Anolis sagrei: one gene and its partners. The protein of the gene in region 4 interacts with the protein of the main gene of each other region in a pairwise test. Links are inferred from orthologs where the notes say so. Each region holds a gene or a part of one and is shown on either strand. Other genes may lie near its edges. The genes, in order: PPP1R18, SH2D4A, LENG1 and FSD2.

What was found.
Region 1: the proteins of FSD2 (region 4) and PPP1R18 interact in binary tests that used the Homo sapiens proteins (3 or more experiments, as listed by UniProt). The two-hybrid records come from large-scale screens. The link is inferred for Anolis sagrei from reciprocal best matches to the Homo sapiens genes FSD2 and PPP1R18.
Region 2: the proteins of FSD2 (region 4) and SH2D4A interact in binary tests that used the Homo sapiens proteins (3 or more experiments, as listed by UniProt). The two-hybrid records come from large-scale screens. The link is inferred for Anolis sagrei from reciprocal best matches to the Homo sapiens genes FSD2 and SH2D4A.
Region 3: the proteins of FSD2 (region 4) and LENG1 interact in binary tests that used the Homo sapiens proteins (3 or more experiments, as listed by UniProt). The two-hybrid records come from large-scale screens. The link is inferred for Anolis sagrei from reciprocal best matches to the Homo sapiens genes FSD2 and LENG1.

The regions. Positions count from the first base shown.
Region 1 is NC_090022.1:23,666,500-23,674,454, reverse strand, and holds the start of PPP1R18 (phostensin), read right to left. Parts: upstream 3,012-7,955; 5' UTR 2,900-3,011; intron 2,138-2,899; 5' UTR 2,084-2,137; exon of another isoform or gene 2,080-2,083; intron 1-2,079.
Region 2 is NC_090026.1:55,294,691-55,301,660, forward strand, and holds the start of SH2D4A (SH2 domain-containing protein 4A), read left to right. Parts: upstream 1-3,949; 5' UTR 3,950-4,117; intron 4,118-4,198; exon of another isoform or gene 4,199-4,271; intron 4,272-4,366; 5' UTR 4,367-4,428; coding exon 4,429-4,594; intron 4,595-6,970. UniProt on the Homo sapiens protein: Inhibits estrogen-induced cell proliferation by competing with PLCG for binding to ESR1, blocking the effect of estrogen on PLCG and repressing estrogen-induced proliferation. May play a role in T-cell development and function.
Region 3 is NC_090026.1:19,022,566-19,029,690, forward strand, and holds the start of LENG1 (leukocyte receptor cluster member 1), read right to left. Parts: upstream 3,010-7,125; 5' UTR 2,909-3,009; coding exon 2,777-2,908; intron 1-2,776. Other genes in the region: voltage-gated chloride channel TMC4, read right to left, coding at 6,520-6,573, 6,805-6,883.
Region 4 is NC_090029.1:32,404,458-32,411,461, reverse strand, and holds the start of FSD2 (fibronectin type III and SPRY domain-containing protein 2), read left to right. Parts: upstream 1-3,993; 5' UTR 3,994-4,109; intron 4,110-7,004.

The DNA of each region.
Region 1 (7,955 bases), on a different chromosome or scaffold from region 4:
CACCAGAAACGACTTGCAGTTTCTCAAGTCACTCAGAACACGACCAAAAAAAAAAGGGGGGGGGAATTAAAGTGTATTGTTCCCTAAAGGCTAAAGACATGGATATCAGACCAGGCATTCAGTGTAATAAGAAAATTATGGAATACTGCAATGACAAATTGGAACAGCCACAGACTATGATATTGGATTGCGTGATTTTAAATAAGTGGTTTCAAGGTTTTATACGTTTTTAATGATTGTTTTACTATATACTAGCCGTCCCCTACCATGCATTGCTGTGGCCTAGTCTGTGTATATGTGTTGTGTGTGTATTTGTGTATAAATAAATAAATAAATAAAAATACACTAAAATTATGTTTCCCATAATATTTCCTGTCTGTCAATAAATTTCTTGCATTGCATAGTATTGACAATTTGTCATGCCTAGAACTCTTGAATTTGCATTCCATTGGTCACCTTGCCAGCCCCTTGTCTTTGGATGCCTACATTGTATTTCTAAATATTCACCTGAAATTTCCAGTTTTAGCGATACTATAAATTTGGGGACAAAAGGAATATTTCAAGGCAGCATCCTGGGGGGGGGGGGGGGGGCAATGCTTTAATTCCATCCTTCCCATATACATGTCATATCTATATCTTCCAGGGAAGAGAAGTTCCTTTAATCTGAATTTAGAATGGCAAGTGGATTTGGCTTTAAGAGGTTACATAGAACCTTATGCGCCCAGCCACTGAGTAGTGGTGATTAATATGTATTTATGAAAAATATAAACATGACACTACTATTTTAAAATAATAATAAATAATCTATATAAATAAACATGTAATGCTTGTTTGTGGGATTAATATAACTCAAAATCCACTTGATGAACTGACACCAAATTTGGACACAATGCACCTATCTGACCAACAAGTGAACATCACTCATAAAAACCCTGAAAAACACAGCAGAAGAAAAAAATACATTACAATGCAAGTGCAAAAACACATATATACACATATACACAAATATATATGCACATACATACACACAAAGACATATACACAGACTGGGCCACAGCAACGCGTGGCAGGGCATGGCTAGTTTATATAAATAAAAATGTAATGTTCGTTTGTGGGATTAACATAACTCAAGAACCACTGGGTGAATTGACACCAAATTTGGACACAATGCACCTATCTGTGAGTGACCATCACTCATAAAAACACTGGGAAACATATTGGAAGGGACTTAAAAAGCCAAAAAATAAAAAAAATACATTACAACGCATGCGCAAAACCACATACATATACGCAAACACACACATATGTACACAAATATATACACACAAAAACACATATACACAGACAAGGCCACAGCAATGCATGTCAGAGGGCGGCTAGTAAATAAATAAATAAAATGATATTTAACATAGTGTCCAGTATTATTAAATACCTTAAATAACATTGGGTTTCTGTGAGTTTTCTGGGCTGTATGGCCATGTTCCAGAAGCATTCTCTCCTGAGGTTTCATACACATCTATGCAAAGGCGGCCCTAGATAATTTTCAACAGTAAGCAAACAGTATTTTGCCCCCTCCGCCCCCACCAATCACTGATATATATTTACTGTTCGTCATGGGAGTTGTGTGTGCCATATTTGGTTCAATTCCATCATTGGTAGAGTTCAGAATGCTCTTTGATTGTAGGTGAACTATACATCCCAGTAACTACAACTCGCATATGTCAAGGTCTATTTTCCCCCAAGAGCGCCTCAAGAGCGCCCCTGGGCAAAATCAACTATACTGCAAATGCTTACTTTGCGTAATGGGTTGAGCCACCCCTGCATCTATGGCAGGCATCCTCTGAGGATGTGGGCAAAACGTCAGGAGAGAATGCTTCTGGAACATGGCCATACAGCCTGGAAAACTCACAGCAACCCAGTGATTCCAGCCCTGAAAGCCTTCGACAACACATTGAAATAACATTATCATGTCAGGCTGCTGCACTTTAAGACTGAAAAGGTAAACAAATCTTGCAAGGAGGGAGGAAGAGCATGGGAACCATAAGAAGGACATACATAAGGGGAGAAAAAAATACAAACCTACTGTAATAGGATCTCGATGTTTCCAAATTTCAAGCAATCCCAGGAGTTCAAACGCCTGCAAAAACCAACAGTGACAGGTGAGGATGCTAAATTGACTTTGGTACCCAGCGCTGCCTTTTGAAGTTCTTAACTGGGTCAAAAGCGAGGATTCCTGAGGAGGAAACAAAGGCAGCGGGGAAGATCAGCTCAAATCCCAGCAGAGATCGGATCCAGGCATCCGAGGGATGGAAGCAGCCAGATGAGCGGATTTTCACACAACAAGAACCCCTTATATCCAGAGAATTCCAAGAATTCAGGTGATGAGAGCGATTTGAATGCGATTTTCCTGCTTCTTGGCAGGGGGTTGGACTGGTTGGCCCACGAGGTCTCTTCCAACTCTCGGATTCTATGATTTTCTAATTCATTTTGGGAAAAATAAAAACAAGGAAGATATATTCCAGTAACGACCGAATCCCAGCATCTTGAGAAGGGATAAAAGATCAAAGATCCCTTTGATCAATGGATGAAAACAATATAGGACTAAGGATAAGCCATAGAAAGAGAGGGCAGAGGATCTCTATCCAAGACTCTCCTGCTCTTTCTTCCCCTCCTTGTGTCTCCTGATCCCTTTCCGTCTTGGCGCCTCACAATCAGAGGAACTGAACCGGTATCAGCATGGGTTGTCCACACACATAAGTAGGCCAACTCCGAAGAATGAGAACCCTTGGGAGATCTTGGAAGGAGATTTTGTTAAGGTTCTTAGCCCGCTTGGAAATCCCCATATAATCTCTCGGGGCCAACAAAACAAAACAAAACAAAACAAGGATTCCCTACTCACTATCAAACCAAGGTGGTCCAAGAGATGTGGGGCAGAAGGTGGGCTGGGTCCTCCGCTGGGTCCATCTCTGAGGAAGAAGTGCAGATGATCCCAGCTGGATGAGAAGTTCCTTTTCTTGACTGCCACTCTCTGTCCCTCAAAGCAAGAGAAAGAAGGGAGGAGATTCGGGTGGAGGATCTGAGTCAGGGCTGCCTTGCCAGAGGAAGGGTTTGGTTAGTCAGTCCCTTTCCGCCCCCTCCTCCTTCCTCTTTTCTTCCTTTCCTCCTCCTCCTCTTTCTTATCCTTCTCTTCCTTCCTCCCTCCTCTTCTTCTCCTCGTCCTGTCTTCCTCTTCTCCTGCTCTTATTCCCCTCCTTTCCTTTCTTCCTCCTCCTTTTTCTTATTCGTCTCCCTCTTCCTTTCTCCTCCTCTTTCTGTCTTCCTCTTCTCCTTATCTTACTCTCCTTCTCCTTCCTTTTCCCCCCCTTTCTTATTCTTCTCCTTCTTCCTCCCTCCCTCCTCTTTCTTATTCTTCTCTTCTTTCCTTCCTCCTATTCTCCTTCTCCTTTCTTCCTCTTTCTTATTCTTCTCCTTTCTACCTCCCCTCTTTCTTATTCTTCTCCTTCTTCCTCCCTCCTCCTCCTTTCTTTCCCTCTTTCTTATTCTTCTCCTTTCTTCCTCCTATTCTCCTCTTTTCTTCCTCCCCCTCTTTTTCTTCTTCTTCTTCCCTCCTATTCTCCTTCTTTTTCCCCTTTTTCTTCTCTTTCTTCCCTCCTCTTCTCCTCTTCTTTCTGTCTTCCTCTTCTCCTTCTCTTATTCTCCTCCTCCTCTTTCTTATTCCTCTCCTCCTTCCTTCCTCTTATTCTCCTCCTCTTTCTGTCTTCCTCTTCTGCTCTCCTCCTTCTCTTTCTTCCTTATTCCTCTCCTCCTTCCTTCCTCCTCCTCTCCTCCTCCCTTTCTTCTTCCTCTCTTCCTTCCTTCCTCCTATTTTCCTCCTCTTTCTGTCTTCTTCTCTTGCTTTCCTCCTCCTCCTTTCTTCCTCTTCCTCTCCTCCTCCTCCTTTCCGATTTCTCTTCTCTTTCTTTCCTCTCTCCACCTCCTTCCTTTTGCTGCTTCCCAAGAAGTTTTTTCTCCTCCTTTCAGAGAGAACGAGGAACATAGAGAGAGAGAGAAGGCGAAAAATAATGATTCTCTCTCTCTCTCTCTCTCAATCCCTTTGCACACCCGCTTTTTTAAATCCTCTGCCGAGCTCCACCTCCCAGCCCCATGGCTCAAATCCTATTTTAACCCAGGATGGAAAAACTGGGAGGGGAAAAAGGGAGGAAAGGGAGGCAAAAGAAAGAGAGGGAGAAAAAGGGGGAAGAGAGAGAAGAGAGGAAAGATTGGGAAGAAGGAGAAAGAAGAGAAAGAAAGAAAGAGCGGAGGAAGGGGAGGGGGAGGAGGAGGAGACCGGGGCAGGCGGGGGTCTTTGTGTATAAACAGGAGAGGGGAGGACAATGAAAAGGGGGCGGGGCTTGGCGGGCAGCAGGCAGCGGCGCGGAGGGGGGTGGCCGAGTGGGCGGATCGGCAGGAGAGGGGAGGGGGAGAGAGGGAGGGAGGGCGCGCGGAGCCGAGATTTCTGCGCGTTCCTTCCGCCGAGATTCCGGGGGGAGGGCGGGCTGCCGTCGGAACAGCCTTCCATAGGACCGAATGGAGCCTGTCCATCCCTCCCAGGAACAGGCGCATTCCTGGCATTCCCCAGGCTCTGCAAAAAGATACACACACACACACAAGCCTCATGCAGTATATGAGGAACATGCTATGTGCATTTCTCTCTCTCTCTCTGTGTATGTGTATATATATATAGAGAGAGAGAGACAGAGTTCCACATGTATACTTGTCACACCCTTTGAAATCACAACACTACTGTGCCTGTATGTGTGTGTTTCTCCCTCTCTCTGTGTATGTGCATGTATGTGAATATATATAGAGTTCCTCATGTATACTTGTCACACCCATTGATAATACAACACTACTGTGCATGTATGTGTGTGTTTCTCCCTCTCTCTGTGTATGTGCATGTATGTGTGTATATATATGGAGAGAGAGAGAGTTCCTCATGGATACTTGTCACACCCATTGAAATTACAACACTACTGTGCATGTACGTGTGTGTTTCTCCCTCTCTCTGTGTATGTGCATGTATGTGTGTACATATATATATATAAAGAGAGAGTTCCTCATGTATACTTGTCACACCCATTGAAATCACAACACTACTGTGCATGTATGTGTGTGTTTCTCCCTCTCTCTGTGTATGTGCATGTATGTGTGTATATATATGGAGAGAGAGAGAGTTCCTCATGGATACTTGTCACACCCATTGAAATTACAACACTACTGTGCATGTACGTGTGTGTTTCTCCCTCTCTCTGTGTATGTGCATGTATGTGTGTACATATATATATATAAAGAGAGAGTTCCTCATGTATACTTGTCACACCCATTGAAATCACAACACTACTGTGCATGTATGTGTGTGTTTCTCCCTCTCTCTGTGTATGTGCATGTATGTGTGTATATATATGGAGAGAGAGAGAGTTCCACGTGTATACTTGTCACACCCATTGAAATACAACACTACTGTGCATGTATGTGTGTGTTTCTCCCTCTCTCTGTGTATATATATGGAGAGAGAGAGAGTTCCTCATGGATACTTGTCACACCCATTGAAATTACAACACTACTGTGCATGTACGTGTGTGTTTCTCCCTCTCTCTGTGTATGTGCATGTATGTGTGTACATATATATATATAAAGAGAGAGTTCCTCATGTATACTTGTCACACCCATTGAAATCACAACACTACTGTGCATGTATGTGTGTGTTTCTCCCTCTCTCTGTGTATGTGCATGTATGTGTGTACATATATATATATATATAAAGAGAGAGTTCCTCATGTATACTTGTCACACCCATTGAAATCACAACACTACTGTGCATGTATGTGTGTGTTTCTCCCTCTCTCTGTGTATGTGCATGTATGTGTGTATATATATATATATAGAGAGAGAGAGAGAGTTCCACATGTATACTTGTCACACCCATTGAAATCACAACACTACTGTGCATGTATGTGTGTGTTTCTCCCTCTCTCTGTGTATGTGCATGTATGTGAATATATATACATATAGAGAGAGAGAGTTCCTCATCTATACTTGTCACACCCATTGATATTACAACACTACTGTGCCTGTGTGTCTCTCCGATACATATATACTGTGTGTGTATATGTGTGTGTGTTCCTCCTGTGTACTTGTCACACCCATAGATGTGTCTGTGCATGTGTTATACCTCTCCTATACATGTATTTATATATACCCATGCACAGGCACATAATATATGCTCCTATATTGCCATACATATAGGAGGAGAGTGTATAATGTTTATTTAATTATATGTCTCTCCTATGCATATATTTATATACTATGTGTGTGTATGTGTGTGTCTCTTGAGTACGTGTCACACCCATAGATGTATGTGTGCATGTGTCCAGGGGCGGCTCGTCCATTACGTGAAGTAAGCGGTCGCAGAACACTTTTTTTTTGCCAGGGGCACAGAGGCGTCTCTGTAAATGCCCCTCGACCGCCATTTGAGTAGCACCCCCTCAGCTCACAACAGCCCTAGCAGTCCAGGGGGAGCCTCGGCTTTCTTGCCTCGCTGCCGGGCAATCCTCTTCCCAAAGGGGCCGGGCCCTTAAGCCTCACCTTGCCCCTCTCATTCCTGCTCCACCTGGCCACCGGGTGTGCAAGCAGAGCCGGCGCTCAATCGTTCTCCGCGTTCAATCCCTTCCCCATGACCGGCTCCCTTTCCCGATCCCCTGGCGCTCCACCTGCCTCCTCTCCTCTCCCCAATCTGCGGGTGGGCCAAGGGGCGGAGCCGCCGCACCTGGCCTTTTCAGGTCCGGAGGCTTGTCTGAAGACCCCAGCGTGCGCATCAAAAGTCGCCTCTTCTCCTGACTTTCTCTTCAGCCATTGGGACTAAGAGAGAGAGAGAGAGAGAGAGAGAGAGAGCTCGAGCTCCTTTGGATGGAGGTATCTTCCACCTCCGCTCCCTCCTTTGTTTTTGAGCCTACCTTCAGGAAAGGTGGCATCTCCACCTCTGTCTCTGTCTCTCTCTCTCTCTTGGTCCCAATGGCTGAGGAGAAAGTCAGGAGAAGAGGTGACTTTTGGTGCACATGCCAGGCTCTTCAGGCACGCCTCCGGACCCAAAGTGGGCCAGGCAAGGGGGCAAGTGCAGCAAGTGTAGTTACTGGGATGTATAGTTCACCTACAATCAAAGAGCATTCTGAACTCCACCAATGATGGAATTGAACCAAATATGGCACACAGAACTCCCGCGACAAACAGAAAATATATATCAATGATTGGTTGGGGGTGTGTGTGCCAAAATACTGTTTGCTTACCGTTGAAAATTACCTAGGGCCGCCTCTGCATGTGTCGTATCTCTCCTATACATGTATTTATATATACGTATACACAGGCACATAATATGCTCCTATATTGTCATACTGTACATACATGGGCGGCTCAACACATTACACAAAGTAAGCATTTGCAGTATAGTTGATTTTGCCCAGGGGCGCTCTTGAGGCGCTCTTGGGGGAAAATAGACCTTGACATATGCAAGTTGTAGTTACTGGGATGTATAGTTCACTTACAAAGAGCATTCTGAACTCCACCAATGATGGAATTGAACTAAATATGGCACACAGATCTCCCACAACGAACAGAAAATATATATCAATGATTGATTGGGGGGGGGGGGGGGGTGCCAAAATACTGTTTGCTTACCATTGAAAATTACCTAGGGCCACCTCTGTGTGCATATATAAGGAGAGTGTATAATGTTTACTTCAGGGGTTCCTCAAACTTTTTAAACAGAGGGCCAGGTCACAGTCCCTCAAACTGTTGGAAGGCCGTATTATAATTTGAAAAAAAACATGAATGAATTCCTAAGCACACTGCACATGTCTTATTTGTAGTGCAAAAACCACTTAAAACAATGCAATAATTAAAATGAAGAACAATTTTAACAA
Region 2 (6,970 bases), on a different chromosome or scaffold from region 4:
TACAGCCTGTGTTGGATGGGGTTACACTCCCTCTGAAGATGCAGGTTCACAGTCTGGGTGTGATCCTGGATTCATCGCTGAGCCTGGAACCCCAAGTTTTGGCAGTGACCAGGGGAGCATTCGCCCAGCTAAATCTTGTGCACTAGCTGTGCCCATACCTTTGGAAGCCTAACTTGGCTCTGGTTACATCTCGTATAGACTACTGTAATGCACTCTACGTGGGGTTGCCTTTGAAGACTGTCCAGAAGCTTCAAATAGTCCAATGGATGGCAGCCAGAATGCTAACAGGAGCGGCCCTCAGGGAGCATACAACTCCTATGCTGCACCAGCTCCACTGGCTGCCAGTCTGCTACTAGGCACAATTCAAAGTGCTGGCTTTAGTCTATAAAGCCCTAAATGGTTCTGGCCTGACTTACTTGTCTGAATGCATCTCCCCTTATGAACCATCTGGGCCTTAGATTCTAGGACTTTGAGATCGTCTGGGGAGGCCCTGCTCTCAATCCCGGCTTCATCACAAGTATGTTTGGCGGGGACGAGAGACAGGGCCTTCTCTGTGGTGGCCCCTCGGCTATGGAACACCCTCCCTAAGGAGATTAGATTGGCTCCCTCACTCTTAACATTTCGGAGACAAGTTAAGACATGGTTATATGAGCAAGCGTTTACAAATGCAGGGTAACTGATATAGGAAATGGAATCACTTGACAACGGATTTTGGACAACGTTTTTAACTAGGAGACACTAATGATCAAGGGTCTGGAGAACAAGCCCTATGAGGAGCGGCTTAAGGAGCTGGGCATGTTTAGCCTGAAGAAGAGATGGCTGAGAGGAGATATGATAGCCATGTATAAATATGTGAGAAGAAGCCACAGGGACGAGCAAGCTTGTTTTCTGCTTCCCTGGAGACTAGGACGCGAAACAACGGCTTCAAACTACACGAAAGGAGATTCCATCTGAACATGAGGAAGAACTTTCTGACTGTGAGAGCCGTTCAGCAGTGGAACTCTCTGCCCTGGAGTGTGGTGGAGGCTCCTTCTTTGGAAGCTTTTAAACAGAGGATGGATGGCCATCTGTCAGGGATGATTTGAATGCAATATTCCTGCTTCCTGGCAAGGGGTTGGACTGGATGGCCCATGAGATCTCTTCCAACTCTTTGATTCTATGATTCTATGGTGTTGGTTTTATTGTTTTTATTGTGATTTCATATTGTTCAATGCTTAATCGGTATTTTGCTATTATGTGTACTGACTTGTTGTAAACTGCTTTGAGTCGCCGATAGGCTGAGAAAGGCGATATACAAGTATAGTTAGTAAATAAATAAGTAATAAACTTTATTTATACCCCGCCACCATCTCGCCAATGGGGACTCAGAGCCGTTTACATGGGGCCAAGCCCGAATGACAAATTACAGCAAAATAAAACCAAAACATAAACAACAAGCAACATCATCAAAATTGCATTAAAAAAAGATATGAGTACAGTAACAAAATAACATTATAATAAACATAATCGCAGTAACAGTGGGTAGGTCACATGTACAGGATAAAATGTTAAAAAACTCTAATGAGATAAAAATAGGAGCAAGTTATTTGCAGGGAGCTCAAAAAGAAACACAGGGTTGTGAAACTAAACTTCCCATTTGGGGGAGGGGGCATGTACTCTAGTGACAGAAGCATTGAGGGGAGCAATAGGGTCATGTTGCACCTACTCACCAAAGGCGCAGCGGAAGAGCCAGGTTTTAAGGTTCTTTTTAAACGTTTCTAGTGTAGGGGCTTTCCTGATCTCTCCAGGTAATGAGTTCCAGAGTCAGGGGGCCACAGAGGAGAAGGCTCTTTCCCTCACTACGGTGAGGTGGATCAGTAATTGGTTAAATGGACAAACCCAGAAGGTGCTCACCAATGTTTCCTCTTCATCCTGGAAAGAAGTGACGAGTGGAGTGCCGCAGGGTTCCGTCCTGGGCCCGGTCCTGTTCAACATCTTTATTAATGACTTAGATGAAGGGCTAGAAGGCAGGTTCATTAAGTTTGCAGATGACACCAAATTGGGAGGGATTGCCAATACTCCAGAGGACAGGAGCAGGATTCAAAACGATCTTGACAGATTAGAGAGATGGGCCAAAACTAACAAAATGAAGTTCAACAGTGACAAATGCAAGATACTCCATTTTGGCAGGAAAAACGAAATGCAAAGATACAGAATGGGGGACGATGCCTGGCTCGAGAGCAGTACGTGTCAAAAAGATCTTGGAGTCCTTGTGGACAACAAGTTAAACATGAGCCAACAATGTGATGTGGGGGCAAAAAAAGCCAATGGGGTTTTGGCCTGCATCAATAGGAGCATAGTGTCTAGATCAGGGGTCCTCAAACTAAGGCCTGGGGGCCGGATACAGCCCTCCAAGGTCATTTACCCGGCCCTCGCTCAGGGTCAACCTAACTCTGAAACGATTTGAAAGCACACAACAACAACAACAACAACAACAACAATCCTATTTCATCAGCCAAAAGCAGACTCACACTTCCCACTGAAATACTATTAAGTTTACATTTGTTAAAATTGTTATTCATTTTAATTATTGTATTGTCTTGTTAAGGGTTTTTTTGCAATACATATAAGATATGTGTAGTGTGCATAGGAATTAATTCATGTTTTTTTTTTTCAAATTATAATCCGGCCCTCCAACAGTTTGAGGGCCCATGACCTGGCCCTCTGTTTAAAAAGTTTGAGGACCCCTGGTCTAGATCTAGGGAAGTAATGCTACCCCTCTATTCCGCTTTGGTTAGACCACACCTGGAATATTGTGTCCAATTCTGGGCACCACAATTCAAGAGAGATATTGACAAGCTGGAATGTGTCCAGAGGAGGGCGACTAAAATGATCAAGGGTCTGGAGAATAAGCCCTATGAAGAGCGGCTTAAGGAGCTGGGCATGTTTAGCCTGAAGAAGAGAAGGCTGAGAGGAGATATGATAGCCATGTATAAATATGTGAGAGTAAGCCACAGGGAGGAGGGAGCAAGCTTGTTTTCTGCTGCCCTGGAGACTAGGACGCGAAACAATGGCTTCAAACTACAAGAGAGGAGATTCCATCTGAACATGAGGAAGAACTTCCTGACTGACAGCCGTTCAGCAGTGGAACTCTCTGTCACGAAGTGTGGTGGAGGCTCCTTCTTTGGAAGCTTTTAAACAGAGGCTGGATGGCCATCTGTCAGGGGTGATTTGAATGCAACATTCCTGCTTCTTGGCAGGGGGTTGGACTGGATAGCCCATGAGGTCTCTTCCAACTCTTTGATTTTATGATTCTATGAAACTAAACTTCCCATGAGGCAGTGACAGAAGTGTTGAGGGGAGCAATAGTGTCATGTTGTCCACCTACTCGCCAAAGGCGCAGCGGAAGAGCCAGGTTTTAAGGTTCTTTTTAAACGTTTCTAGTGTAGGGGCTTTCCTGATCTCTCCAGGTAATGACTTCCCGAGTCGGGGGGCCACAGAGGAGAAGGCTCTTTTCCTTGTGCCCACAAGACGGGCTTGTGAAATTGGCAGGGGCGAAAGGAGGGCCTCCCCGAAGATCGAAATAAATAAACATCAATGCAATGAACCTGTCCGTTTAAAAATGTAAATAGCAGTTGTGTGTGTGCAGAGGGGGAAGCATCAAAGCAGCCTTTACACCACACTATTGATCCGATCAGAACCTCATTCCCACCCAGTTCTGCTATTTTCACCCTTATTCATGCTGGGAACTCTGGTGTGTATTTCCGTTCACGCAGAAGATAAATTATATCTCACTCCTTGACACTGGTGTTTACTGACATTGGCCCTATCACTTTTTCTGTGGGCGTTTGGCACCGGCCAGAACTTTACTTTCTTAAGATTTGTGAGACAGGAAAGGGTTAGGGTTCACCTCTTTACAAGCCATCCCTTCACTTCCTGGTCTCATAACAGAACGGCTTGCTGAGTCAGAGAGGTAAGCCACACCTGTGACTTTAGCAGCCAGTGCTTAAAAGCAGAGGGGACTTCCACGAGGCATCAGATCTGAACACTCCTCTCTGGTCCTCGTTGCGGCTGCTTTATATTCATTACCTTGAACAAACGCCCTGCTTATTCCAGGACACAAGGGCTCGGTTTTGGTGTAAGTGTTGCCAAGTCTTCCTTTTCTTTGTGTTCTTTGAGCTCTTTGTTTACTTTGTCAGTCCTTGCAGGAAATCCAAGAGCTAAAAGTAGGTTGCAGTCGCCGTGAGAGTAATTGCGATGTGGAGAGCCTGCATTCCTGCTGTATCTTAAGGGTGGGGAGAGATTTTTGTCTCCCCTTTGGCCACTGATGTGTTTCTGCTGGAAAGGCGGCAGAGAAAGTGACTTCTTCCTTCTCTTCTCTCCTCAGATCAGCCTTCTCTTCTTCTTGCTCCTACTCCTTCCTCTCTGTGAGAAGCTTCTTCTACAACCATGCTGAAGCAAATCCTGGCCGACATGTATGTGGACCCAGAGCTGCTGGCAGAGCTCAGTGAAGAGCAAAAGCAGATCTTGTTCTTCAAGATGAGGCAGGAGCAGATCCGAAAGTGGAAGGAAAGAGAAGATGTGGCCACTGTGCCGAAACCAGTGCGGAAGGCAGGTCAGTGTGTGAGCCCAGGAGGAAAATGGGATTATCTAGCCTGGCTTCAGAAGGAGTAAAGAAGGCTGAGAGGGGACATGATAGCCGTGTTTTAATATCTGGAAGGATGTCACATTGAGGAAGTTGCATACTCGTTTTCTTTTGTTTTGGGGATTAGGATGCGGATCAACGGATTCAAATTCAAATTGCAGGGGAAAAGATCATAATAATAATCTCTCCGTTCTTGTGGGTTTTTTCGGGCTATATGGCCATGTTCTAGAGCAGTGGTTCTTAACCTTCCTAATGCCGCGACCCCTTAGTACAGGTTCCCACGTTGTGGTGACCCCCAACCATAATGTCATTTTCATTGCTACTTCTTTAATTTTGCTACTGTTGTGAATCGTAATATAAATATCTGATATGCAGGATATATTTTCATTCACTGGACCAAATTTGGCACAAATACCCGAAACGCCCCAATTTGAATACTGGTGGGGTTGGAGGGGATTGATTTTGTCATTTGGGAATGTTGGAATTGCTGGGATTTATAGTTCACCTAAAATCAAAGAGCCTTCTCAACTCCATCAATGATGGAATTGAATCAAATTTGGCACACAGAATTCCCATGGCCAAGAGAAATACTGGGAGAGTCTGGTGGACACTGACCTTGAGTTTTTGGAGTTGTAGTTCACCTATATCCATATCACACTGTGGACTCAAACAGTGATGGATCTGGATCAAACTTGGCACAATATACCCAAATGTGAACACTGGTAGAGTTTGGATAAAATAGACCTTGCCATTTGGGAGTTGTAGCTGCTGGGATTCATAGTTCACCCACAATGAAATAGCATTCTGAACCCCACCAATGATAGAATTGGACCAAACTTCCCATGCAGAACACCCATGACAAAGAGAAAATGTTTCCTGATGGTCTTTGGTGACCCCTCTGACACCCCCTCGCGACCCCCACAGGGGTCCCGACCCCCAGGTTGAGAACCACTGTTTTAGAGGCATTTCTCCTGACGTTTCGCCTGCATCTATGGCAAGCATCCTCAGATAATATAATAATAATAATAATAATAATAATAATAATAATAATAATAAACTATTTAAAAACAGCAATATCAGAGATCAAAAGCCCGTCGAAACAGATATGTCTTCCATGCCCTGCGGAAAGTTGATGTCCCGCAAGGCTCGGACTTCAGGTGGCAGAGTATTCCAGAGTGATGGTGCCACTGCTGTAAAGGCTCTGCGTCTGGTTGCTGTTAGACGCAAGGTCTTGACACGGAATTTCCAATAAATCTTGGTCCTCAGAACGGAGGGATCTCTGGGGTTGGTAGGGGGTGAGGCGGTCCCTCAGGTACATCGGCCCTAGATGTAGGGCCTTAAAGGTGAGTACCATCACTTTGAAAATATAATTCATACACACAGAGATATAGTATTATAATAATAATAATAATAATAATAATAATAATAATAATAACAACAACAACAACAACACTTTATTTGTACCCTGCTACCATCTCCCCAATGGACTCGGTGCGGCTTACATGAGGCCGAGCCCAAACACAACAATACAAGCAATAATAACAACAATACAAGCAATTAAAAAAACATAGACAATAAAATACACAACATTATCAATAAAACAACACATAATTAAAAACAGTGGGAAGGCCAAATGTAGAGTTAAAATTGGAAATAATGCTGGGACATGAACGAAAGGTGATACTGGTGTTTGTGGAAGGGCATACGAGCAGACTTAAAGATATGTAAAGTGCTATGGGATCATTATTCCGGGAAGGCACACTGGAACAGCCACATCTTCAAGCTCCTCCTGAAGACTGCCAGAGTTGGAGCCTGTCTGATGTCTTTAGGGAGTGAGTTGCAGAGTCGAGGGGCCACCACCGAAAAGGCCCTCTCTCTCCTCCTCACCAATCGCGCCTGCGATGCTGGTGGGATCGAGAGCAGGGCCTCTCCGGATGATCAAAGGGATCGTGTGGGTTCGTATACAGAGATGCGGTCACGCAGGTAGGCGGGTCCTAAACCGTTCAGGGCTTTGTAGGTAAGAACCTGCACCTTGAATTGGGTCCAGTAGATGAATGGCAGCCAGTGGAGCTCCTTGATTCCATCTACACTTTAGGAAGAACTTCCTGCCAGTAGTGGAATATACAATAATAATAATAATAATAATAATAATAATAAAACTTTATTTATATACCGCTTCATCTCCTTGAGGGGACTCAGAGTGGTTCCCAGGTAACATCACAAAACATACAAAGTAAAAACAACATAACCATAAGTGGGTTGTTGTAGGTTTTTTCGGGCTATATGGCCATGGTCTAGAGGCATTCTCTCCTGATGTTTCGCCTGCATCTATGGCAAGCATCCTCA
Region 3 (7,125 bases), on a different chromosome or scaffold from region 4:
CAAAGGGCAGTCCCTGATGAAATGCTAGGTGGTCTCCCTAGGCTCGCTTCCAGCATCACAGGCTTGTTTCTGACACAGAAGTCTGGGACAAACTTGTTATTTTTCTGCCAGCCATGGTCAGTTGTCCTTCAAATACAGTAGAATCTCGCTTATCCAACCTTCGCTTATCCAACATTCTGTATTATCCAACGCTGTCTGCCTCCTGCTCGGATCCACAGGTGAGGGAAGTGGAGTGTATATTTACCTGTGCAATATTTATTTATTTCCTATATTTATACCCGGCCCTTCTAACCCCTGAGGGGGGGACTCAGGGCAACCTCACAAACACCATACGGTGTCATCATAATAAAACAACAACACATTAAAATATTAAAACAATAATTAAAACAATTGATTAACACACACCTATTAAAATCAGAGTCTAAAATCCAGTCTGGGTGTTAAAATCTTCTTTTACTTTTTGCTCTCTAATTGAATGCTTGGTCCCAAAGTCAGGTCTTGATTTTTCTTCTAAAAGACAGGAGGGAGGTGGCCATTCTGATGTCCTATGATGAGCCCTATGAGGAGCGGTTTAAAGAGCTGGGCATGTTTAGCCTGAAGAAGAGAAGGCTGAGAGGAGATATGATAGCCATGTATAAATATGTGAGAGGAAGTCACAGGGAGGAGGGAGCAAACTTGTTCTCTGCTTCCTTGGAGACTAGGACGCAGAACAATGGCTTCAAACTACAAGAAAGGAGATTCCATCTGAACATTAGGAAGAACTTCCTGACTGTGAGATCTGTTTAAAATTTTAATCATTACATTTGGCCTGGCCTTAGTTTTAAATGTGTCATGGTGTTATTGTCTAATATTTATTGCTATTGTTTTAATGTTTACTGCTTGCTTTATGAGTTTATTTATTGTTGTATTTGTTATGCTGTTGTTTTATTGATGTGTTGGGCCTCGGCCTCCTATAAGCCGCACCGACTCCTTCGGGAGATGTTAGTGGGGTATAAATAAAGGTTCATTTTATTATTATTATTATTATTATTATTATTATCATTATTATTATTATTATTATTATTCAGCTGTGGAATTCTCTACCCCAGAGTGTGGTGGAGGCTCCTTCTTTGGAAGCTTTTAAACAGAGGCTGGATGGCCATCTGTCAGGGGTGCTTTGAATGCAATATTCCTGCTTCTTGGCAGGGGGTTGGACTGGATGGCCCATGAGACCTCTTCCAACTCTATGATTCTATGATGTTACTGGGGAGAGCGTTCCATAGACGGGGGGGGGGGGGGGGGCACTGATGAGAAGGTCCTGTCCCTTGTTCCCACCGATCGCGTTTGCAGTGTCGGTAGGGTCGAGAGCAGGGCCTCTCCAGATGATCTTAAGGTTCGTGATGGTTTGTACCAGGAGATATGTTCGGACAGTAATGTCCAGGGTGGGAGAAAGAAAGCGCCCTTGTCTGTTTTGGTGCTAAATTCATAAATACAGTAATTATTACATAACGTTGCTGTGTTTTGAACAGCTATTTCTGTCCATTTGTTGTAAAACATCATGTTTTGGTGCTTAATTTGTAAAATCCTAATAGGCTTTTCCTTGTTGTTGTTGATTCGTTCAGTCGTCTCCGACTCTTCGTGACCTCATGGACCAGCCCACGCCAGAGCTGCCTGTCGGCCGTCACCACCCCCAGCTCCTTCAAGGTCAGTCCAGTCACTTCAAGGATGCCATCCATCCATCTTGCCCTTGGTCGGCCCCTCTTCCTTTTACCTTCCACTTTCCCCAGCATAATTGTCTTCTCTAGGCTTTGCTGTCTCCTCATGATGTGGCCAAAGTACTTCAACTTCGTCTCTAGTATCCTTCCCTCCAATGAGCAGTTGGGCTTTATTTCCTGGAGGATGGACTGGTTGGATCTTCTCGCAGTCCAAGGCACTCTCAGCACTTTCCTCCAACACCACAGCTCAAAAGCATCTATCTTCCTTCGCTCAGCCTTCCCTAAGGTCCAGCTCTCACATCCATAGGTTACTACAGGGAATACCATGGCTTTGACTAGGCCGATCTTTGTTGCCAGTGTGATGTCTCTACTCTTCACTATTTTATCGAGATTGGTCATTGCTCTCCTCCCAAGAAGTAAGCGTCTTCTGATTTCCTGGCCACAGTTTGCATCTGCAGTCATCTTTGCACCTAGAAATACAAAGTCTGTCACGGCCTCCACATTTTCTCCCTCTATTTTCCAGTTGTCAACCATTCTTGTTGCCATAATCTTGGTTTTTTTGATGTTTAGCAGGCTTTTCCTTAATCTCTCCTTATCCAACATTATACCAGCCCATTAATGTTGGATAAGTGAGACTCTACTGTAGTATATTAGATGGTAAAACCTCCATCGAAATGTCCCACAGACTGAAATGGGAGTCTCCTTCTCTGTGGAGGTTTTTAAGCAGAGACTGGATGGCCATCTGTTGGAGATGCTTTGATTGTGTGCAAAGCATCACATTCCTAACAGCCTCAGGCCCTTTCCTTTTCCCCCTCAGCTGAGGGGGAAAAGGAAGGGGCCTGAGGCTGTTAGGAATAGCGGGAGTTGGAGTCCAAAACACCTGGAGGAAGGCCCAACTTTGCTCATGCCTCTCCCTTCATTCATTCTCTTCCAAACCCCGCCCATTCGAACTAGCTCGGGGACGCATGCGCAATAAAATGCTATTTTTTAATGTCATGAGTTATAGGAAAACAGCGCATGCGCGGCGCTGCCCCGAGCACAACCGTTGTCCCTTTTGCGCATGCGCCGTAGAAGCAACTTACCTCCTGTTCCGCGAGCAGGACTCGGGCCTCTTTCTTCCTCCGCTGCTCCTCGGCCTCCGCTTCGTCCCGCCTCACGCGGGCCACGTTGTCCTTGTTCCGTACGTGCCATGACTTTTTCGGGAGGATATTCATCCTCGCTGTTTTCCCTACGCCGTCCTTCGGAACGCTGAGGCTCCCTCTCGCTGCTGCCTCACACTTCCGGGATCTGTATCTCTTTTCTGATTGGTGGGATCCTTCTCAGGGGCGTGGCCTACTTTGTGTGTATCTCTGGCGCCCCTTCTGGACGGCCTGAGTATTGTTTTCCAAATTTCTTTTTTTTAATTTTTTTCCAGGGAACTTTCCACACAGCCCTATATCCCAGAATATCAATCCCACATTGAGTGTGGATTTAGATAACCCAGTTCAAAGCAGATATTGTGGGATTTTCTGCTTTGATATTCTGGGATATAGGGCTGTGTGGAAGGGCCCCAGATCTCACAATGTATGTCTCTTTCACACAGCTATATAACCCAGAATATCAAGGCAGATAATCCACAATATGAGGAGCCCCCAGTGACACAATGGGTTAAACCCTTTTGCCGGCAGGACTGCTGACCAAAAGGTCGACCATTCAAATCCGGGGAGTGTGGTGAGCTCCTGTCTGTCAGCTCCAGCTTCCAATGCAGGGACATTATTTATTTATTTATTTATTATTTTGCTTCCGATATTTCTACCCCGTCTCTTGGCCTGCATCAATAGGAGCATAGTGTCTAGATCTAGGGAAGTAATGCTACCCCTCTATTCTGCTTTGGTTAGACCACACCTGGAATATTGTGTCCAACTCTGGGCACCACAATTCAAGAGAGATATTGACAAGCTTGAATGTGTCCAGAGGAGAGCGACTAAAATGATAAAAGGTCTGGAGAACAAGCCCTATGAGGAGCGGTTTAAGGAGCTGGGCATGTTTAGCCTGAAGAAGAGAAGGCTGAGAGGGGATATGATAGCCATGTATAAATATGTGAGAAGAAGCCACAGGGAGGAGGGAGCAAGCTTGTTTTCTGCTTCCCTGGAGACTAGGACGCGGAACAATGGCTTCAAACTACAAGAGAAGAGATTCCATCTGAACATGAGGAAGAACTTCCTGACTGTGAGAGCTGTTCAGCAGTGGAACTCTCTGCCCCAGAGTGTGGTGGAGGCTCCTTCTTTGGAAGCTTTTAAACAGAGGCTGGATGGCCATCTGTCAGGGGTTATTTGAATGCAATATTCCTGCTTCTTGGCAGAATGGGGTTGGACTGGATGGCCCAGGAGGTCTCTTCCAATTCTTTGATTCTATGATTCTATGATTCTCTATCCCTGAAGGGGGACTCAGCATGGCTTAAATTTGGCAGCGATTTGATGCCACTACAAACAAACAATTACAATAATACAACCATTAAATATATATAAAGCATTAATTAAAACAGTACATAAAGCATTGATTAAAACAATAAACAGTATCATCAGCTGTCATGCCATTCCAGTCAATTTCCAACCAAAGTGCTAATTAAGTCTGCTGTCCAAAAGCCTGGTCCCAAAACCGCGATTTCAGTTTCTTCCCCTGGGCAACGTCTTTGTAGAAGGCCAATTAGCTCACACCAAAAGCGACTTGCAGTTTCTCAAGTCGCTCCTGACACCCCCCAAAAAAATTCCACAATATCTGCATTGAATGGAATATCTGAGTCCACACTGTAAGATAATCCAGTTCAATGTGGGTTTTATACAACTGTGTGGAAGGAGCCATAATTACCTTAAAAATTTGAAATTTTCACATCTTATATCTCAGTGTTCAAATTCTGCATTGTGATTTAGAACATGAATGCTTCATTTTCTGTTTATTTATTTATTCATTCTAATAATGCATCATACATTTAGGGCCAAGATTTGGAAGAGCAATGTACAAAGTGGAATATTATAGTTTAAATTCTTGTATGGGAAGTGTATCCAGATTTGTCCTATTTTGGTATATGGGCTATACAATTAATCAAAGTTACAAACAAGATAAACCCTGTAAGTTTGTGCTTAAGTTGAATTTAGTTGTAAGTTGGAAGAGATACATTTTTAAAATTTAACTCCAGCCTTGGATAGCATAGAGAAGAGTTGACGCCCTTGTGGGGTTTGTTTTGTTGTCTGTGCCCCTGTTCAGAATATTTCACCTCACTTTCTGTCACGGTAGTAATTGGATTTTGAAAAAATTGGCTTTTTATGGAAACAAGGATTGGTGATAAAACTTCATTGGAGTCCTCTTTTCCCCGTGATCACTCTTTCAGGAATAAACTTTCCTTTTATGGGGTAGATTATTCCCCCTTCCTGTTGTTTCACCCCCATTCTTAACTATGAGTCAGATGTTAGTAACTTGGGGACTGCCTGTACTCTGTCCATCAAAAAAATTAAAAGTTGGGTAGCTGTGAGTTTTCCGGGCTGTGTGGCCATGTTCCAAAAGCATTCTCTCCTGACATTTTGCCCACATCTATGATGGGCATCCTCAGAGGTTGTGAGGTTTGTGGTCCAAAACCCCTGGAGGGGCCAAGTTTGCCTCACAATCTCTGAGGATGCCTGCCATAGATGTGAGTGAAACATCAAGAGAGAATGCAGCCCAGAAAACTTACAGCAACCCCTAATGTTGTAATTGCCTTCTGTATACAAAATAAGCAGACAAGAGTACTTTCTCCCACCCTGGACCTTCCACAGATAGGTAAACTCCACTTGCCTAGTTTCCAACAGACCTCATAACCCCTGAGGACGCCTGCCATAGATGTGGGCAAAACATCAGGAGAGAATGCTTCTGGAACATGGCCATACAGCTCTGAAAACTCACAGCAACCCAGTAATTCCAGCCGTGAAAGCCTTCAACAATATCATTTTAAAATCAATTATGGTGGTAGAAATGCAGCCAGAAATCTGTTTTGGTAGACCTGCATAAGAGACAAGACCCCTTTTATACTGACCACTGAATGCAGTTTGAACAGCATTATATGGTCAGTGTAGACTCATATAATGAAGTTTGATTTGCATTATATAAGTCGACACTGACCTATATAATACAGTTTCAAACAGTACTATATGGTAGTGCAAATCTGTCAGGGTTACTTTGATTGTGCTTTTCCTGCATGGCTGGGTGTTGGACAAGATGGCCCATATGGTCTCTTCCAATACTGGGTTGCTGTGAGTTTTCTGGGCTTTATGGCCATGTTTCAGAAGCATTCTCTCCTGACGTTTCATCCACAGCTATGGCAGGCATCCTCAGAAGTTGTGAGGTTTGTTGGAAGCAAGGCAAGTGGGGTTTATATATCTGTGGAATGTCCAGGGTGGAAGAAAGAACTCTTGTCAGCTTGAGGCAAGTGTGAATGTTGCAATTGGCCACCTTGATTAACATCGAATGGCCTTGCAGCTTTAAAGACTGGCTGCTTCATGTTGGGGGGAATCCTTTGTTGGGAGGTGTTAGCCAGCCCTGATTGTTTCCTGTCTGGAATTCCCCTGTTTTCTTAGTGTTGTTCATTATTTACTGTCCTGATTTTAGAGTACAACCAGCATGTCGGACTGCACAGAGAAGCCATTGAAATCCACAAGCATGTGGACAATTTCAACAGAAAGGAGGAAATCATGAAAATCAACAAAATCTGGCTACCAATATTAAAACACTCTTTGAGTATTGAGGAAATGAACTGTACAATTAAACACCCATCTACCAGAAGAAATAAGTGCATGTTGTTCTATCATCTTCTGCTTCAGTGGCTCATCTCAGAGATCTGTTTCACCAGGAAGAGTTTGTCTTGGCCCTCCTAGATGAAAGAGAAGGAGAGAAATGTGAAAGTATCCTTATTCATGACAGCGTCCTCTTGGTCCTTTCCCAGTCTAGCATCTCAAGATGTGCTGCATTACAGCTTTGGGCAAATAGTCTGGGATAGTGGGAATTTTCGTGTGGCACATCTGCATTATTTGTAAGGCATCTGTTGATCCTGGCATTGCAATCCCATGCTAACTCTATGAAAATGTTCTTTTTGAGTACTTACCAGACGGAGTTGTCCCTTAAGGCCTTTAACCAAAGAGCTGTAGGAGTCAGCCAGTGCCTTGAGGTAGAACATGAGGACACTTGGAGGAAAGGATGCAAAAGAGAGGAGACAAATGTAAGATCAGGGCCCTTTGTTTCATCAGTTGCAAGGCTCAAAGCCATCTATCGTCCTTGGAAAATGACCACACCTTCCACCACAACCCTTCTGCAGCTTAACCATGGCTACTGTAGTCCAAAACAGTAACTTTTCCAAACTTTGTTCTCTAAATTAGGGTGCTGCCCTAATAAAGTGCCATCCTAATTTGGGGATCAGAGAAACGTC
Region 4 (7,004 bases):
CGAACCATCAAGATTACTAAGATCATCTGGAGAGGCCCTGCTCTCGGTCCCACCGGCCTCACAAGTGCGGCTGGTGGGGATGAGGGACAGGGCCTTCTCGGTGGTGGCCCCGCGACTCTGGAACTCTCTCCCTCTGGAGGCCAGAACTGCCCCATCCATCCTAACATTTAGGAAACGGGTGAAGACATGGCTGTGGAGTGAGGCCTTCGATGAATGAGACAACACCAAAGGACCCTGGATGGAAGCTGATGTAGATCCATCTTAATAGGACGACTGACCACTGTAGTTTTATATATAGTGTTTTTAAAGTTGTTTTTGTAATTGTGATATATGATATTTTAATGAGTGTATATGTTTTTTATGGCTGGAAACCGGGCTGAGTCCCTCAATGAGGTTGAGAAGCTCGGTATAGAAAACTGTGAAATAAATAAATAAATAAAAGGCATGAGCAAACTTGGGCCCTCCAGGTGTTTTGGACTCCCACAATTCCTAACAGCCTCGGGCCCCTTCAAGGACTGTGGCTCCTGCAGCAGCTCCAACAGCAAGGACCTATGTCTTCCCTTTTCCTCACTGAACTGAACTCCCCTGTTTCAATGTAACAACCCCTAATAAAGAAGTATCCTTTTTACTCACTTTTCCTCTTCATAGTGATACATCGTGTCCTTTTACTATCTCAAACATTAACAAGCATAAACTAGGCTTGGGTAACAACAGAAAAAATTTGTTTCTAAACTCACTTCGTTTTTAGGGGTCCATCGCGTTTCGTTTTTTTAAAGAATTCCGAAATTTTGCTTTTAAAAATTTCAAAATTTACGAAATTTCGTAAAATTCCGAATCGATTCGTTAATGGTGGACGCGATTGCGCAATACGCTAAAAAAACCCTCCAAATGGGACAGAGGGAACTTCTGAAGCTTCCCTCTCCCTCTGTTGTTGACAGTTGGTGTGATAAAACAAACAACAACTATAAAACTTGCACCAGACATGCGAAAATAATTACGAAATAATTTTGAAATAATTACGAAATAATTACGAAATAAATTGAAAAAATTGTTTCGAATCTAATTTACTCCTCACACTATTCCTGCATGGCTCAATATTGGATCGTAAGCTAATTTAAATACAAATTAATAACAAATTACGAAATTAATGAATGAAACCGCCCAAGCCTAGCATAAAACTTTCCTTTCCTGAGCCGCATATCCCTGCTGACTCGCCTGGGATGCTCTTACAGCGTCCCAGGGAGGCCAAAACTGTGTTCCTCTGAACCGCAGATACGGAAACCCATTGGGCCCCCATATCTGCGGGTCAACGGATCGGCTCTAAACCAGTGCCATCTTTTTGCTAGACTAATTCTAAGACTAACTGCTATCTTACTGATGATCAGTTGAAACATTTACACCTGGCTCCAGCAGACAAGAGTCCTTTGTCCCACCCTTGTCATTCCACAGATATATAAACCCTTTTTCCTAGTTCCAACAGACCTCACTACCTCTGAGGATGCTTGCCATAGATGCAGGTGAAACGTCAGGAGAAAATGCCTTTAGAACATGCCATATAGCCCAAAAAACCCTACAACAACCCACTGCTATCTTACTTTTAGCATAACAGACCTCTGTACCCCAGGAAAACCAATTTTGTCCCAAAAACCTCATGTTGGGTCCAGCTGGCTCCAATCCATGGCTCCACACTGCAACAATGTTCTGCTTCCATTTTATGTGCGTCCAGAAGCCTGTTGACCCCAGGAGAGTCCCTTGAGGTCACCCCTTGGGACCCCCAGATCTCTGGCAGGCCGCTCTGCCCTTCTATGAATTGGATCTGTAATTTTTTCTTCCTTTCCAATGAGTGCATTCCAACCTCTAGTGCTCCCAGGACTGTCACCAATTTCCCATGAACTTTCATAAACTTTTCTCCAACTCCCATGAACTTTCGAAGGACTTTTATGAACTTTTGCCAACTTTCACCAATTTTTGGGAACTTTGAGTACTTTTATCAACTTTTGAGGACTCTTTGGAACTCCCATGAACTCTTTGCCAAACCCCTATGGACTTTTAATAACCTTCTCAAACTTTTATGAATGTTGATGGACTTTGGGGGGGGGGGGGGAAAGACAGCTGACATGATTTGCCCTTAGACCAGTGGTTCTCAACCTGGGGGTCAGGACCCCTGAGGGGGTCACCAGGGGCTGTGAGAGGGGTCACCAAAGACCATCAGGAAACACAGTATTTTATGTTGGTCATGGGGGTTCTGTATAGGAAGTTTGGCCCAATTCGATTGTTGGTGGGATTCAGAATACTCTTTGATTGTAGGTTAATTATTAATCCCAGCAACTACAACTCCCAAATGTCAAGGTCTATTTCCCCCAAAATCCACCAGTGTTCACATTTGGGCATATTGAGTGTTTGTGCCAAGTTTGGTCCAGATCCACCATTGGTCAATGCCCACCAAACCCTTCCAGTGTTTTCTGTTAGTCATGGGAGTTCTGTGTGCCAAGTTTGGTTCAATTCCGTCATTGGTGGAGTTCAGATTGTAGGTGAGCTATAAATCCCACCAACTCCAACTCCCAAGTAACAAAATCAATCAATCCTCCCTCCTCCCAATTCCACCACTATTCTAATTTGGGCATGTTGGATATTTGTGCTAAATTTGATCCAGTGAAAATACATCCTGCTTATCAGATAATTGCAGTACCATTCATAACAGGAGCAAAATTACAGTTATGAAGTAGCAAAATAATGTTATGGTTGGACTGTATTAAGGAGTCGCAGAATTAGGACGGTTGAGAAACACTGCCTTAGACCCTACATGATTTCCCCTTATGAATTCCTTTCATATTCCCCAACCTATTGCTCATTCCTCATGTGTATGTATGTCTATATTTTGAAAAATGTAGGAAAAAGCCACCGTTTTCATGAAACCAGCACCTCATGGCTCCAGGAAGCTTTCCCAATTTCCTGGGCCAGTAAATCCGTAAACAAAGGACTCAACCAAGACTCACTGCATGGACAATAAATAAATGGTTCTTATCAAGCAAAAAGTGAGCGCTAGAAACAACATCATACGAAAGTTGACTGGCACAACCTGGGGATCACAACCAGACACAGTGAAGACATCTGCCCTTGCGCTATGCTACTCTGCTGCTGAGTATGCATGCCCAGTGTGGAACACATCTCACCACACTAAAACAGTGGATGTGGCTCTTAATGAGACATGCTGCATTATCACGGGGTTTCTGCGCCCTACACCACTGGAGAAATTACACTGTCTAGCCGGTATTGCACCAGCCGATAGCGAAAGGACCAAGGCAGAGACATCTCCAGCTCATCCCTTGTTTGGGTATCAGCCAGCACGTCAACGACTTAAATCAAGATATAGTTTTCTTAGATCTACAGAGACACTCGCCGGAGTGGAGTCCACGACATGCGAGTGTGGAGAAGAGCAAACCACTAACCACCTGCTGCAATGCAACCTGAGCCCCGCCACATGCACGATGGAGGACCTTCTTGCGGCAACACCAGAGGCACTCCAAGTGGCCAGATACTGGTCAAAGGACATTTAATCAACTACCAAGTTGGCAAAATCTGTATTTTGGTTTTTTTGTGGTTTTTTTAATCTGTTTGTTTGTTTTGTTCTGTTAGATATGTAATACAATGGTATGGTTGCTGATGACATGATAAATAAAATCAGACGAGACTTCGGAAGGCAAAGAGCCAGGCCATCTGGGATGTTAGGACTTATGGACATTTAAATCACTCAACACAAAGGGTATCTTCCTATCTGTTTATTGGGCTTCAACTCCCATAATTCTTAACAGCCTACTGACTGTTAGTGATTATGGGAGTTGAAGTCACAAACACCTGAAGGGCCGAAGTTTGCCCATGACTGTTTTAACCCCAACTTTTCTCCAGAGTTGTTTGGGTCTGACATTCTCCTCCCTGACACACAAGAAGTCATCTGCTGAAGGACAGCTGGTGCCAGGCTATATTTGTTCTTCTTGCTCATCGCATGCATGCTACGCTTAGGATAAGCAGCCGTCTAGAGTTACAGCAGTGAGGCTTCGGTTTCAGAAGTCGAAAGCTAGCAGGGAATGGCTGCCGAATGAAAAATTCAGGTTTGTTAGGAAAAATAGGAGGTTTTGTTATTGTTGGGATAGAAGTAGAATGATCAATCATTGATACTTAAATAGAAAGTTTTTGAACAGCAATATTATCAGTCTTTTAATTTATTCTAGAATGCAGTATCTCTCCACTACTTTGCATCAATGTTTGGAAAGCTGGGTAAACAAAATTTAATTTCAACTGTTTTTACACATTCTTCCTTAAGGTGTAAATGCCCAGTGATTTCTTTCTCAATGAACTGCAGCTCGAAAGAAGGGAATAAGTAAATATGAAAGCACTTCCTTGCGTAAATGGTCAATAAATAGAATGTGCATGTTCTGAAATGTGGTGTTGTCGCTTTATGTTCACAATGCTATTTAATGGTTCTTTTGAGTTTTTTTTTTTTTAAAAGCTGGTTTAACTGGAAGGCCATCTTGTGGACTTCTAAAATGAAGGTTCCTAGGGCTACAATTTTCAAACCTTGGTCATTGCTTCACGTGTGATTGCAGCTCTATTTCTAGCTCCAAGTTTACCCCTGTCTGCTTGCAGGGGCAGCTCAACCCATTACGCGAAGTAAGCATTTGCAGTATAGTTGATTTTGTCCAGGGGCGCTCTTGAGGTGCTCTTTGGGGAAAATAGACCGTACATATGCGAGTTGTAGTTACTGGGATGTATAGTTCACCTATAATCAAAGAGCATTCTGAACTCCACCAATGATGGAACTGAACCAAATATGGCACACAGAACTCCCACAACGAACAGAATATATATATCAGTGATTAGTTGGGGGGGGGGGGGAATACTGTTTGCTTACCGTTGAAAATTACCTGGAGCCGCCTCTGGCTGCTTGAGGCTCGTCTTTTGCTTTCTTTACTTCTTGCTGAGCAATAAGATCAGCCCAAAATGCAGTGTATTATATTCTCTCCTTTGCAATGGTGAGTTTGGAACAGTAAGTATAATGATAGGCACCTAAAGGAACTCTCCAGAAAGGCCCACTGTTTTATATTCTTTCAATCTGCAACCGTAGGGAGGGTGGGTGGGGGATACTTTTGTACAGTACCATATTCATTGATGGGGATATATCATCATCAGTTTACTAGACACATTTTTTTTGCACAAGTACGACACAAGGGTTTTTTGTTTTGTTTTGTTTTTGTATCAGGAGCAACTTGAGAAACTGCAAGTCACTTCTGGTGTGATAGAATTGGCCATCTACAAGGATGTTGCCCAGGGGACAGCAAGATGTTTGATGTTATTTACCATCTTTGTGGGAGGCTTCTCTCATGTCCCTGCATGAGGAGCTGGAGCTGACAGAGGGAGCCCAACCCGCTCTCCCTGGATTCGAACTGCTGACCTGTCGGTTAGCAGTTCCTGCTGATACAAGGGTTTAACCCATGGCACCACTGGGGGTTCGACACACAAGTTAACATGTTTAAACCCTGGCTTGGGCTGGGAATTGAGAGGGAAGGGTGCTCAGGCTTCAAAACCATCTCACAAACAAACACTGTATGCTGTGAGTTTTCCAGGCTGTATGGCCATGTTCTGGAAGCATTTTCTCCTGACGTTTAGCCCACATATATGGCAAGCATCCTCAGAGGTTGTGAGGTCTGTAGGAAACTAGGCAAGTGGGGTTTCTATATCTATGGAATGTCCAGGATAGGAGAAAGGACTCTTGTCTGTTTGAGGCAAGTGTGAATGTTGCAATTGGCCATCTTGATTAGCATTTAATAGTAGGCATGGGCAATCCATGGTTCTAAATGGTTCTAAAGTACTTACAAAACTCGAGAGCGCTGATGATTTGCTTTTAAAGTGTTTCTAAAGCTGGTGCTGTGCTTCTAAAGTGTTGCTAAAGTTCTAGTGGTGAAAATTTCAGAACTCTAACAAAACTTCCAAAATTTAATTATTATTTCATTATTGGCGATTTTTATGACCGAACCAATTAGGAACTGCCATTTATAACCAAATTTTGAAAGTGTTGTTGGAGTTCTGATATTTTCATCACCAGAACTTTAGCAACACTTTAGAAGCAAAGCACCAGTGCCCCCTAGTTTTGTAAGTACTTTAGGACCATTTGGAACCATGGATTGCCCATGCATATTGAATAACCTTGCAGCTTCAAAGCCTGGCTGGTTGCTGCCTGGGGGAATCTTTTGTTGGGAGGTGTTATCTGGCCCTGATTGTTTCCACTCTGGAATTCTCCTGTTTTCTGAGTGTTGTTCTTTATTCAGCCAGAGAAGTCAGCCATGGCACAGCACCTGATGAACCAGCCTGGACACTGCATATTATTTGAGAACACAGAAATGCTGGACCACTCTCACAACCACTATGTCATACTACACAGAGAAACCATTGAAATCCACAAGTATGTGGACAATTTCAAAAGAAAGGAAGAAACCATGAAAATGAACAAAATCTGGCTACAGGTATTTAAAAATCTATAAAATCAAGATAGTAAAAAAAAAAAGCAAAACTCAGAAAACAAGGGAATTCCAGACAGGAAACAATTAGGGCCAGTTAACACCTCCTAACAAAGGATATCCTCAGGCAGGAAGCAGCCAGGCTTTGAATCTGAGAGGCCATGAAATGCTAATCAAGATGGCCAGTTCCAACATTCACACCTACCTCACACAGACAAGAGTTCTTTCTCCCACCCTGGACATTCCATAGACATATAAACCTCACTTGCTTAGTTTCCAACAGACCTCGCAACCTCTGAGGATGCCTGCCATAGATGTGGATGAAATGTCAGGAGAGAATGCTTCTGGAACATGGCCAGGCAGCCTGGAAAACTCACAGCAACCCAGTGATTCTGGCCATGAAAGCCTTTGACAACAGACACGGTTTGGTCTTTTCTTCCAGTATCGTATGCTGTGATATTGGCTTTCCTATCTGAGATACAGAGAAGCACA